Cricetulus griseus: one gene and its partner. The protein of the gene in region 1 interacts with the protein of each later gene in a pairwise test. Links are inferred from orthologs where the notes say so. Each region holds a gene or a part of one and is shown in the gene's direction. Other genes may lie near its edges.

What was found.
Region 2: the proteins of Ccdc158 (region 1) and Gpsm1 interact in a two-hybrid assay, tested with the Homo sapiens proteins (2 studies listed by BioGRID and IntAct). The link is inferred for Cricetulus griseus from reciprocal best matches to the Homo sapiens genes CCDC158 and GPSM1.

Annotation. Positions count from the first base shown.
Region 1 is NW_023276807.1:157,389,137-157,394,659, reverse strand, and holds part of Ccdc158 (coiled-coil domain-containing protein 158), read left to right. Parts: intron 1-639; coding exon 640-759; intron 760-1,301; coding exon 1,302-1,499; intron 1,500-1,707; coding exon 1,708-2,190; intron 2,191-5,523.
Region 2 is NC_048599.1:137,705,433-137,711,557, forward strand, and holds the start of Gpsm1 (G-protein-signaling modulator 1), read left to right. Parts: upstream 1-2,459; 5' UTR 2,460-2,582; coding exon 2,583-2,650; intron 2,651-6,125. UniProt on the Homo sapiens protein: Guanine nucleotide dissociation inhibitor (GDI) which functions as a receptor-independent activator of heterotrimeric G-protein signaling.

The DNA of each region.
Region 1 (5,523 bases):
CTTAACTTTAAATATAGTTATTTACTCACTCTTTTGAAATATGACAACAGATATTTTATTACTCATTCTTCTGTATTCAGTATTTTATTGAGGCTTTGATGTTTTTTGGCCGGGGGGGGGGGCGGTGTTTGTTTGGATTTTTCAAGACATGGTCTCACTGTTTAGCCTTGGCTGTCCTAGAACTTCCATGTAGACCAGGCTGGCTGGCCCCAAGCTCACAGATCCACCTGCCTCTGCTGACCAATGCTGGGATTAAAGGTGTGCATCGCTATGCCCATCTGAGACAGATATTCTAAAACAAGCTATCTCATCTCAGTATTGTGAAGTTCATTTGTTTGGGGTCTACAGTGCATTGTTTATGCCACCAGAAGATTCCCATAATTATAGAGCATCTCTCTCCAGAAGATAACTTCTGAAGAGAAAACACAAAGCACAGTGTGCGGTGACAGAAGTAACAGTAACGAGGGCTCCACTGTGACTGATGCCCGTGCTAAACCCTACAGAAATGTTAAGGTTAGAAAACTGTAAACGTATGACCCATGAGCTTTGCCTCTACTGCTCATCATCTGCTCTCATAGGCTTTGTATTCTGGCACCACCAACCTGGGCTACATTTGTTTGATTTGGGCTTTTCTTCCAGATAGAAGAGCTGGAGAAGCAGCTAGTCCTTGCCAATTCAGAACTCACCGAGGCGCGCACAGAGCGGGACCAGTTCAGTCAGGAGTCAGGGAATCTGGATGACCAACTCCAAAAGCTGTTGGTGAGCTCCTGCTCTAGAGTGTGAGATTTGGGTTAGGGAAGATGTTCAGCACATTACACAAGCCAGTTCACATTATACAATTACAGGTTTTACTGAATAGTGTGCATATACACCGGATATCATTCTACGGACTTCAAGTGGTTTATATAAGACATCTGTGTCTTTTTCCTTAGTTGTGGCTGTTACATGTTAGATAAGGTCTTCAAGTAGCCATAATCTTTCAATTAGAACTGCCATCTACTAAATTCAAGTTGTGGTATGTTCATTTGGAAGCAAAATGACATTCAAAACACAAGTGATGCACTTTCCATGTGCAGAGATTACAGGTGTGAGGTGCCACTCCTAAACCAAGATGTTTAAGCAAAATGTTAGTGTATCTTTCTAGGAAACAATCATTTTAGTCAGCTGTTGAAAAGCATTTATTTCCCCTAACCAAAGACTTCTCAAATTAAAAAACAGCAAGACCATGTAAGGCAAATAGAAGGATTTGTTTTGGCTGTGTGACAGTGTATGGGAGGAACAGCGCTCCTCACTTCTTTTAGGCAGATCTCCACAAGAGGGAGAAGGAGCTGAGTCTGGAGAAGGAGCAGAACAAGCGCCTGTGGGACCGCGACACTGGCAACAGCATCACCATCGACCACCTTCGTCGGGAGCTGGATGACAGGAACATGGAGGTGCAGCGGCTGGAGGCCCTGCTCAAGGCCATGAAGAGCGAGTGTCAGGGCCAGATGGAGCGACAGGTGAGGGAAAGTACGCAAGCTGTGCCATTGCCGGGTGGCAGGTGTCTTCCATGGGGGAAAATGTCCTTTGTGCCCTAATGTTCTGATGGCACAATGATTTAAATTAGTCTATTTGGACTATCCAGTTCAGGGTTTCACACTTTGAGTTAACTTGCCCATCCCCTCCCCTCCCCCTAAACCCCCAGTTGTAAAACTTTCTTTACCACAGATGGCAGCCATTCAGGGGAAGAATGAGAGCCTGGAGAAAGTGTCCTCCCTCACTGCCCAGCTTGAGTCCACCAAGGAGATGCTGCGCAAGGTGGTGGAAGAGTTGACGGCCAAGAAGATGACCCTTGAGAGCTCTGAGAGGACGGTTTCTGACCTGACAGCTTCCCTCCAGGAGAAAGAACGAGCCATTGAGGCCACCAATGCAGAGATCACTAAGCTCCGCTCACGGGTGGACTTGAAGTTACAGGAGCTTCAACATCTCAAGAATGAGGGGGACCACCTAAGAAATGTGCAGACGGAGTGTGAGGCACTCAAACTCCAGATGGCAGAAAAGGACAAGGTCATTGAGATCTTGCGGCAGCAGATCGAGAACATGACACAGCTGGTTGGCCAGCATGGACGAACCGCTGGTGCCATGCAGGTGGAAAAGGCTCAGCTGGAGAAAGAGATTAATGACCGGAAGCTGGAACTGCAGGAGTTTAAGGTCTGAGTGGGGTTTGGGTGGATTAGCATGCAAATTTTCTGTTCTCCAAGCAACAATAACCTATTAATATATTGAGAAAAATTGGAATTATTCTTGATGTTTATGGGGCTCCTAGAATAGGAAGTATCTGAGTTGCTATCATAAGTCTTTGAGAAAAGATCCCTACTGCCACTCTCTAAAAGGAATGTGTGGCTCCAAAATGGTTCAGGATTGTGGGTACAAAAGGAAAATAGCAAGGAACCCTCTCTCTGAATGTTCCCCAAGCCCACAGTGTGAGGTAGTCTTCATAGAGCAAAGTTTGGCCCCCATCACCTCATAATAACTATATAACATTGGACTGTTCACTGACTCTTAGTGTCTATGGAAACAAAAACACAGGCAAACAAAAACACAACTTTATTAGGCTATATAAAGAATTAGTTTCTTTCCTACTTCTGTTATCCCACCCAACTGTGTACCTGTCACTTCTGTGTTACACTGTGAGTTTAAATATTGAGTCTCCCGACTGCATGGGTGACTTCATAAAGCAAGGCACACACCTTATTCATCTTTGTATTTTTTGTTGCCACCTTCTTCCTCCCTTCTTCCTTCTTTTTCTTTGCTTCTCCTCTTCCTCCTCCTACCTTCTTTCTTTTTCCTTCTTCTTCTTCATCCCTCTTCTTCCTTCTTCCTCCCCCTCCTCTTTTGGAAGCCAGGTCCTATGGAATCCATTATGGAGGCTCAACCTGGCCTCAGGCTTGCAATGATCTTTCTGCCAAATGCTGGGATTTCAAACATGAATCATGTAATACTAAATCTTTTCTCTTTTTTCTTTGGAGAGAGAGTCTCACTATGTAACCATGACTGTTCTGGAACTCACTATATAGATGGGCAAGCAGAATAGACTAGGTGTGACCTTCAAACACGAACCCTAGTAATCTATTTCCGTCAAGTAGGTTCCACTTCCTAAGGCTTCAGAGACCCTAAATGCCAACCAAGAACCAGCCTTGTGAGCAGACCTGACAGACAGGAGCAGGCCTGCTATGTTAACACTTCTCTATACTCCAGCTCGTCTCAAGTCGAAGGCCCTCCCTCACATCTACCCCTCCCTCCATCACATCCACCCCCGCCCCCCACATCTCCTTCCCTTTGTGTGACACATAGTGTCACACATAGTGGTTCCCTGTCTCTCTCTTCACTACAGAAGACTTGAGGACAAAGCTATTATGTGGGTGGTATCCAGGCTTGGGCCTGGGTAAGGCAAGAGAAGTCTAAGATAGAGACCTCATGTGCAGGCCCACTTAGTCCTGGCTCTGTGTGTCCCCAGCATATGAAAAAGTACCCACTGCAGTGTGAACAGAGAATAGGAATAATTACAGGTTATGGCAAGTGATCCTGGGAATAGACACCTGAGTCTAAATGAATTGTAAATTATTCCTTTCTTCTCTCTCTTTACCACTTTTCTTTCTCTTTACCACTTTTTTTCTTTTTTCCTTTTTTTTTTTTTTAGTCAAAATTAGGAACAAGCTTGTTTCACATGTCAATCCCTTCTCCCTCTCCCTCCCCTCACCCACACCCCTCCTACCCCACTCCGACCTATCCCCAACCCCATCCACCCTCCACTCCCCAGGCAGGGTAGGACCCTCAATGGGGGCTCTGCAAAGTCCATCACATCATCCTGGGCTGGGCCAGGCCCTTCCCCGTGTGTCCAGGGCAAGAGTGCATCCCTTCACGAGGGATGGGCTCTCAAAGTCCCTTCTTACACCAGGGAAAAATACTAATCCACCACCAGGGGCTCCCTGGAGTGCAGAGGCTTCCTTATTGACATCCATGTTCAGGGGTCTGGATCAGTCCTGTACTGGCCTCCCAGACAGCATCTGGGTGATGTGTTCCCCCTTGTTCAGGCCAGCTGTTTCTTGGGTTTCACCAGCCTGGTCCCGACCCCTTCGATCTTCATTCCTCCCTCTCTGCAACTAAGTTCCAGAGTTCAGTTCAGTGTATATCTGTGGATGTCTGCCTCTGCTTCCATCAGCCACTGGATGAGAGTTCTAGGATGGCATAAAAAAGTAGTCATCAATCTCAGTTTAGGGGAAGAGCGTTTAGGTTACCCGCTCCACCATTGCCTGGATTGTCTGTGTCATCCTTGTAGGTTTCTGGAAATATCCCTAGTGCCAGATCTCTCCTTGGACCTAAAATGGCTCCCTCTAATATGGTATCTCTCATCCTGCTGTCCTCTATTCTTCCCACAACTCAATATTTCTGCTCCTCCATTTTCTCCTCTCCTCCTCTCATTCTGGCAGCTCCCTCTCCCCTACCCTCATGCTCCCAATTAGCTCAGGAGTTCCTGCCCCTTCCCATTCCTGGGGTCCATGCAATTATCCCTTAGAGTCCTTCATGTTTCATAGTTTCTTTGGTGAAGAGGATTGTAGGCTGGTAATCTTTTGCTCTATGTCTAAAATTCATATATGAGTGAGTACATACAATGCCTGTCTTTTTGTGACTGGGTTACCTCACTCAGGATGGTTTCTTCTAGTTCTATCCATTTGCCTGAGAATTTCAAGATTCCATTGCTTTTTTCTGCTGAGTAGTACTGCATTGTGTAAATGTACCACATTTTCTCTATCCATTCTTCAGTTGAGGGGCATCTAGGTTGTTTCCAGGTTCTGGCTATTATAAACAATGCTGCGATGAACATGGTTGAACAAATGTCCTCGTTGTATAAAGTGCATTATTTGGGTATATACATACCCAAGAGAGGAATTGCTGGATCTTGAGGTTATCCTCAAGATTCCCAGTTTTCTGAGCAACCGCCATACTGATTTCCAGAGTGGTCTTACAAGTTTGCACTCCTACCAGCAATAGAGGAGTATTCCTTTTTCTCCACATCCTCCCCAGCATAGATTGTCATTGGTGTTTTTGATTTTAGCCATTCTGACAGGAGTAAGATGGTATCTCAGAGTTGTTTTGAGTTGCATTTCTCTGATGGCCAAGGATTTTGAGCACTTTCTTAAGTGTCTTTCAGCCATTTCAGATTCCTCTGTTGAGAATTCTCTATTTAGTTCTGCACCCCACTTTTTAATTTCATTGTTTGGTGTTTTGGTGGCTAGCTTCTTGAGTTCTTTGTATATTTTGGAAATCAGCCCTCTGTCAGATGTGGGGTTGGTGAAGATCTTTTCCCATTCTGTGGACTGTCTTTTTGTCTTACTGACTGTGTCCTTTGCCTTACAGAAGCTTCTCAGTTTCAGAAGGTCCCATTCATTAATTGAAGATCTCAATGTCTGTGCTACTGGTGTAATGTTCAGGAAGTGGTCTCCTGTGCCAATTCGTTCAAGGGTATCTCCCACTTTCTCTTCT
Region 2 (6,125 bases), on another chromosome or scaffold:
GTCATCTGGTATATGATGGTGACTGGAGCTGACATGAACCCCTTGGCACTCACCTGACATGGGGAGATGACAAAGCCACCCATCATCCACCCTTGCCCAGCACCAGTAGGATAGCTATTGGCTATGCTCAAATGGGAAATCATTTTCTTCCCTCCAATGTTCCACAGGGAGGAAATACAACCATTAGGGATGAGGCCGAATTCTCCATTTAGCTGCTCCAGAGACTTTACAGGTGGAGGTAACCAGGTTCCTAGCTGCATCTAGGCAGGGGAACAGTGGTGGGGCAGGGGTGAGAGGATGGAGCTCTTTTTCACACTGAGCAGATATGGGAGGGGGTATTCAGAGCTAGCAGGAGACAGGCAGAGACGTGTGTTGATACCCCAAGGGTCCCTCCTCCCTAGGCCCATCTTGCCCTTTCCCATGAGTGTCCTCTAAGTTAGGCCTATTACTTCATGCTTACCTTTATCACATTCTACCTGAAAAGGTCCCTGATGGGAGAAGCTACCCTGCCTGTGTGGTGAGTGTATGCCAGAAGTGACTGCAGGAGTTCCCCAAGTCCAGTACAATTGTAACAGTTTTCTGATGCCATAAGTGCACATTGTATACCAGGAACCATAAGGACTACACAGGCTGGGACAGGTTGGTCTCTTTGCAGGTGACAGAACTGAAATTTAGAGAAAGCAGCTTGTTCCTGGTCAGTAGGGGCAGAGGTAGTCTTCAAGGTCAGGTCTTTCTGACACAGAGCCTGCTTCAGAGAATCCCTGCAAATCTGGGCCCTCACAACCTGTATCCCCCACCCCTGCCTCAAGGAAAAAGGAAATTTGTCCTTAGCGAGAATGCTGTGGTTCACACATCCTGTCATCTCCAGAACCCTGTGGCATATGAGTGGGGCTTCTTGGTTTGGTCCCTGGCAAAGCTGGGTACCCACAGGGGATTGTATGGCTGCAGTATGTCTCTAAGGGCCTCCTAAAGCCAGGAGATAAGCCCAGCCTGATACTGAGAGTGCCACAGCAGCCCCCACTTGCATATGGTGCCCTTTGGGGGCAACCAAGAAGTGCCTGCAGCCCAAAGCCCTCCCTGGCTGCTATCAACGAGGCTGGAGACCAGCAAATGTGGGTGGTGCTTGGCCAGCCACAACACCAACCCTGCCTTAGCCAAGTGAGAGCAAGGCCTGGCTCCTGTGGTCTTAGTGGGAGGCGTGGGGACAGCAGCAAGCCTGAGCCTCCTCACCCCCCAGGCACAGATGGTTCTCATTGCTCCTGCTCCTTCTTTCCTAGGAAAACAAACTAGCTCAGGGCCAACAGACCCGTTTTATCTCATGTTTGTTTTTGTTGCCCTTTTTCTTTGCCCAAAGCCACTGTACTGTGGGCTGAGTCTACAGGGTCTGTTTAGGGTGACCTTGGCATGGTGTCCATCTTCAGGCCTGGTGCCAGGGATGAAGAAAAACTGCCAAGGACATAGCCATTTTCTGCACCCTGACTCATCCCTGTACCATTGAGGGTCACAGCTACTTTTCCAAGAATATTGGGACTGGGCTGAGAGGGGAGCAGAGAGTTAGATGAATCTCAGTTGGGCTGGCTGTTCTGAGGCCTTTGGTGTGTCCAGTGGGTGCCCTGTGGCTGGTTGGCAGTTGGCTGGGGTGAAGGCTCCAGGGCTACTCAAGCATGGATGAAAAAAGATGACTGAGGGCTCCAGACCCTCAGGGTACTTGGAATTCAGAGGAAGATAGGCAGATGAAGGAGTACCAGGCTTCCAGGTGGGCCTCTGGTGTTCTACCAGTATGCTTTCCAAATGGTTGCATTCACAGGTACTGCCAACATGAAGTCTGGTGGTGAAAGCCCTAAGAAGGCAGAGACTTGCCCAGGGCCCCACAGCATGCATCCCCCTCCCTCAAGCCAGGAAAACCTGTATTCTTCCTAGCCCTGGGTGCATCAGCATGACCTGTAAGCCACTGAGGTTACAGGATGTGTGTGTGTGTGTCTGTGACAGCAAAGGCAAAAAGGTTTCAACACCTCAAGCCAGAGTGTCTTGAGTGTGTGTGTGTGTGTGTGTGTGTGTGTGTGTCTTGAGGTGTGTGTGTGTGTGTGTGTGTGTGTGTGTGTGTGTGTGTGTGGTGTGTGTGTGTGTGTGTGTGTGTGTGTGTGTGGTGTGTGTGTGTGTGTGTGTGTGTGTGTGGTGTGTGTGTGTGTGTGTGTGTGTGTGTGTGAAAGGGGGGAATAGCATGGCGGCACCCCAGGGGCTTAGCAGGTCTTCCGCCAAAGAAAAGGTCACCCAGCATTGCCCTCACTAAGACGAGGACGCTCCCTGCATGGACCTCAAAGATAGGGCCCCGCCCACCCCGCGGAAGGCGGGACCGCCGCAGTGGTGGCCGGTGGGCGCCTGCCCCTCCCCACCCTCTCTCCGCCTGGCGGCGGTGACATCACGGCTCGGGCGGGAGGGGCGGTGGCACCCCAGCACATCACTTCCTCGGCGCCTCGCGCGGACGCGCGGACAGGCGGACGGACGCGCGGACAAGCGGGCAGATCGGCGGGCGGACGGCCGCAGCGCGGGGCGGTGCTCCTGCTCGGCGCGTCCCCCGACTCATGGCGAGCCCAGCCCCGCCCGCGGCCGACGAGCTCCCGGGCCCGGCCGCCAGGCGCCTCTACTCCAGGTAGTTCGAGGACCGGGATGGAAACGGGGACCCGAGCGATGGGCGCGGGCGGGAGCCTGCCGGCCCAGAACAAAGGCTGCGGCGGTGGCGCGCAACGTGGCCGGGGACGCGCCTCCCTAGCTCTGCGCAGGGAGCGGTGGGGACGCGGGGGCCCAAAGAGCGGCCCCGCGGCAGAGGGGCTGGGGGCTGGGTTCTGCCAGCAACCTCATCCCTGTGCCAGAGGGGGTTACGAGGCGGGCACTCCTCCACCGAGCTCTGCGGGCCCCTGTATAGCCAGGGATGGCAGGGTTCGTTGCCAGGAGTTCTCCTCTCAAGCCTGAGACTGCCATGACCCGGTGCTGGGGTGGCATGGCCACGACCCAGGCTGTCATGATGGGGCCCTGCCTTCATTAGCTATCCCCAGCCCCAGGCTAGCAGGACCTGGGCCTGGGCCAGGCGGGTGGGTGTGTGCCTGCTTACAAAGGCACTTGCCTTCCAGGCAGGTTCACAGGTGATCCAGCGGTCTGTGCTCTGTGCCCACGCCCACTGGGGATGACAGGATAGCCCTGCCTCTGGTTGCATGCCTCCCTGGTGACTCCGGCCTAATGATAGTGTTCCCCATGAGGTGCTGGTTCCAGATGTGGACCCGGTGCCGCCAGTTCACTATGGCCTCTCAGGCAGAGCTGGAAGGGCCTGAGTGCTGGGCAGGGTCTGCAGTCTGTCGCCAGCCCTAGAAGAAGGCCTAGATCTCTGCTGTGAGCTTCTGATTCCCACCTCTTCTAAGCCTTCCCCAAATATGGGGCCTCCCTGCTAAGGGCCAACCTTGAAGAAAAATGTCCCAAGTGAGGTGGCTTATCAGCTAGCCAAGCTCTGTCCAGTACCCCCAAATATCAAAATGAGGGTTTGGTGGCTGGTGAAGAGACCTTGCCCTTCCCCCTTCTACTCTGCTGTAGCTCAAAGACAGTGTCCCCATTGTGTGGTGTTGAAGATAAAGCCGGAGCCCTATACTCTGCCTCCTGGTTATGGTGCAGGGGTAAGAGGTTTGCTGGCAGCTTCTTCCTAGAGTCCCCTGGGAGTAGACGCTGTGCAGAGTCACGTTTACCTCAGGACCAGCCACCTGTGAGAAGGAGGTGTCTGCCAGGCAGCGTGTGTGTGTGTGTGTGTGTGTGTGTGTGTGTGTGTGTGTGTGTGTGTGTGTGTGTGTGTAAGAAGGAGAGAGGGAGGGAGGGAGGGAGGGAGAATATTCAGAGCGCAGGTCTCCAAACTGTTCAGTTGCTCCCATTTCTCCCCTGTGGTGACTCACTAGGCAGAATTCAGGCTCTGGGTATCTCTCACTGGTTAGGGACAGTATTTGGGATACTGCTTGAGGCCCTGAGCTCAACCTGGCCCCCATCCAAGCTGAAACCCAAGCTGAGCTCAGAGGGTTGAGCTGGGACCAGATTTAAGCTGAGCAGCCAAGAACCTTCCCACAGAGCCTTCCAGGAGGCCCCTGAGTTATTTGGTCTCCACCTAGAGGTCACAGCCAGACCTGGACCTCCAATCTTTGGCTTTGATAGGCTGGGTAGATGTGAAGCAGAAATTAAAAATGTCTCTACATCAGGCTCAGAAACCTGTGGTTACTGGAACTAAGAAGGAAGAAATCCAAGCATGCCCTGTCCCCACGTGACACCTTCCCAGGGTGTCCAGGGAAGCTTGCGTACTGGCATGGGAGCCATGAACTGTGGTTGCTCAGGTACATGGATGCCTAGGTGAACTGGATCCACCTGATCTAAGAAGTCCTGTGGCTATTCTGGGCTGGTCCAGAATGTCTTGGTGGGAGACATTCTCTGCACCATCCACCTTCCTAGGAGCATCCCCGATCTCACTGAGAGGGTTTGATTCTTACAAAATGGGGCTAAGGAGCTGAGAGGACAGACAGATGTGCCCCTGATCTATCAGCTGCTCATGGAGTATAGAGGGGCTGGATCAGGAAGGCAGGGGCACTGAGAGGTGTAGGGGAGAGTAGGGAAGTTCTCTGTTGAGAATCCCTGATCCACTGGGGCCAGAACAGGGGCTTGGGATAGAGTATCCCAGAGAGATGAATGAGTAGCCAGGAAGTGTCTGAAAGTCCTCTCCTGGCTTCCCAGCTCCAGGAGGCAAGTAGCTAAGTGCTGAGTGAGGCTGGGAATGGAGGGTTAGCAGGTGAGCACACACTGGGGTGGCCTGACAAAAGGGGCACCAGGTGCCTGGGTATGGCATTCCTAAGTATGGGCAGGGCCTCTGTGGCTGCGTGGCCAAGCAGTGTTGGACCCCCACTACCACCTCTTTCTGTGTCTTTTCCCAGACGGGACCATTCCCCATCCTAGCCCCAGATATCCCCTGCGACCTGATCCTTGGATTCCTCCCCCTCCAAGAGTTCCCTGCTCCCACCATGCTCCCTCCCAGCCTTCCTACTTCTTTCTTTCTCTCTTCCCGTAGCTGTTGTTGAGGGAATGTCAGTGTGACTTCCCTCTAGGAGATGCTGAACAGGTGGGAGCTGGGACGGCTGTGAGAAAGGGTCTCTCAAGCTTTGGCCAGGGACCAGTGCCAGGTGACTGCTCTTCAGTGAAGGAGGTAGCCAAAGATTCAGGAGCTAGAACTGGAGTTCTAAGGAGCCAGCTGGTGTACCAGAGGATACCAGGAGCCTTAAGGGGACAGGCAGGTGAGATCAGGAGGCCAGAGGGCCATGAGCAGAATGTGGCTGGCACCTAGGGAGTCAGTTGCTGTGTCGGAGACTGGGATATGCCGATAGTGCCTGGTTCCTGGATGCTGCAGTCTGCTGTTCTTGGCATTTTTAAGTGAAACAGCACAAGGCTGTGATCCTTTTAAAGTGGCTCAATTGATAACATGGCTTGGGTCGGGGACCTCAGTGTAGAGGAGGGTCAGTTGGGTAGGCAGTGCTATCATCTTTGGTGAGGTGAAGGATTGCTGTTTACCTGTTCAGCAATGTCTGTCTAGCCAGATGACAAATCCTAGAAAGAAGTTGCTTACTCCCAGGATTGGGGTGTTGTGACCAGTGGGGGCACTAAGCTCCAAACCCCAAATAAGTTTGATCTTGAGCCTCGAGGGCAGGATTTCAGGTAACCCTTGGAGTGGACAGGTCTTTCAAAGGCCTCAGATAACCCAGCATCTGTTTGTTCAAATGGCTGCAGCCCCTGGGGCCTATGGACACCTTGACAGGTGACAGATGAGCAGTACCTTATGGGCCTGTAGAGGTGATGTGGGGGCACAGAGGTTCCAGCTACTTCTCTGCTCATCCACGTCAGACTGGCTGGGCCCCCGAGGGCAGGAGAGAGTGGAAAGCAAAGCAGGAATGTCAATGGGAAGGAAGGGCGGCCCAGGAGAGCCCCCTTGGGGGGTCCAGGCTGTACTCTGATACTCTTGGCCAAGGTATTCCAAAAGTGGAACTCCTGTGTCGGCAGAGCCTCAGAGCAGAACTGAGTTACCCAGGGCCTGGAAGCCTTCTCCACTCATTCTG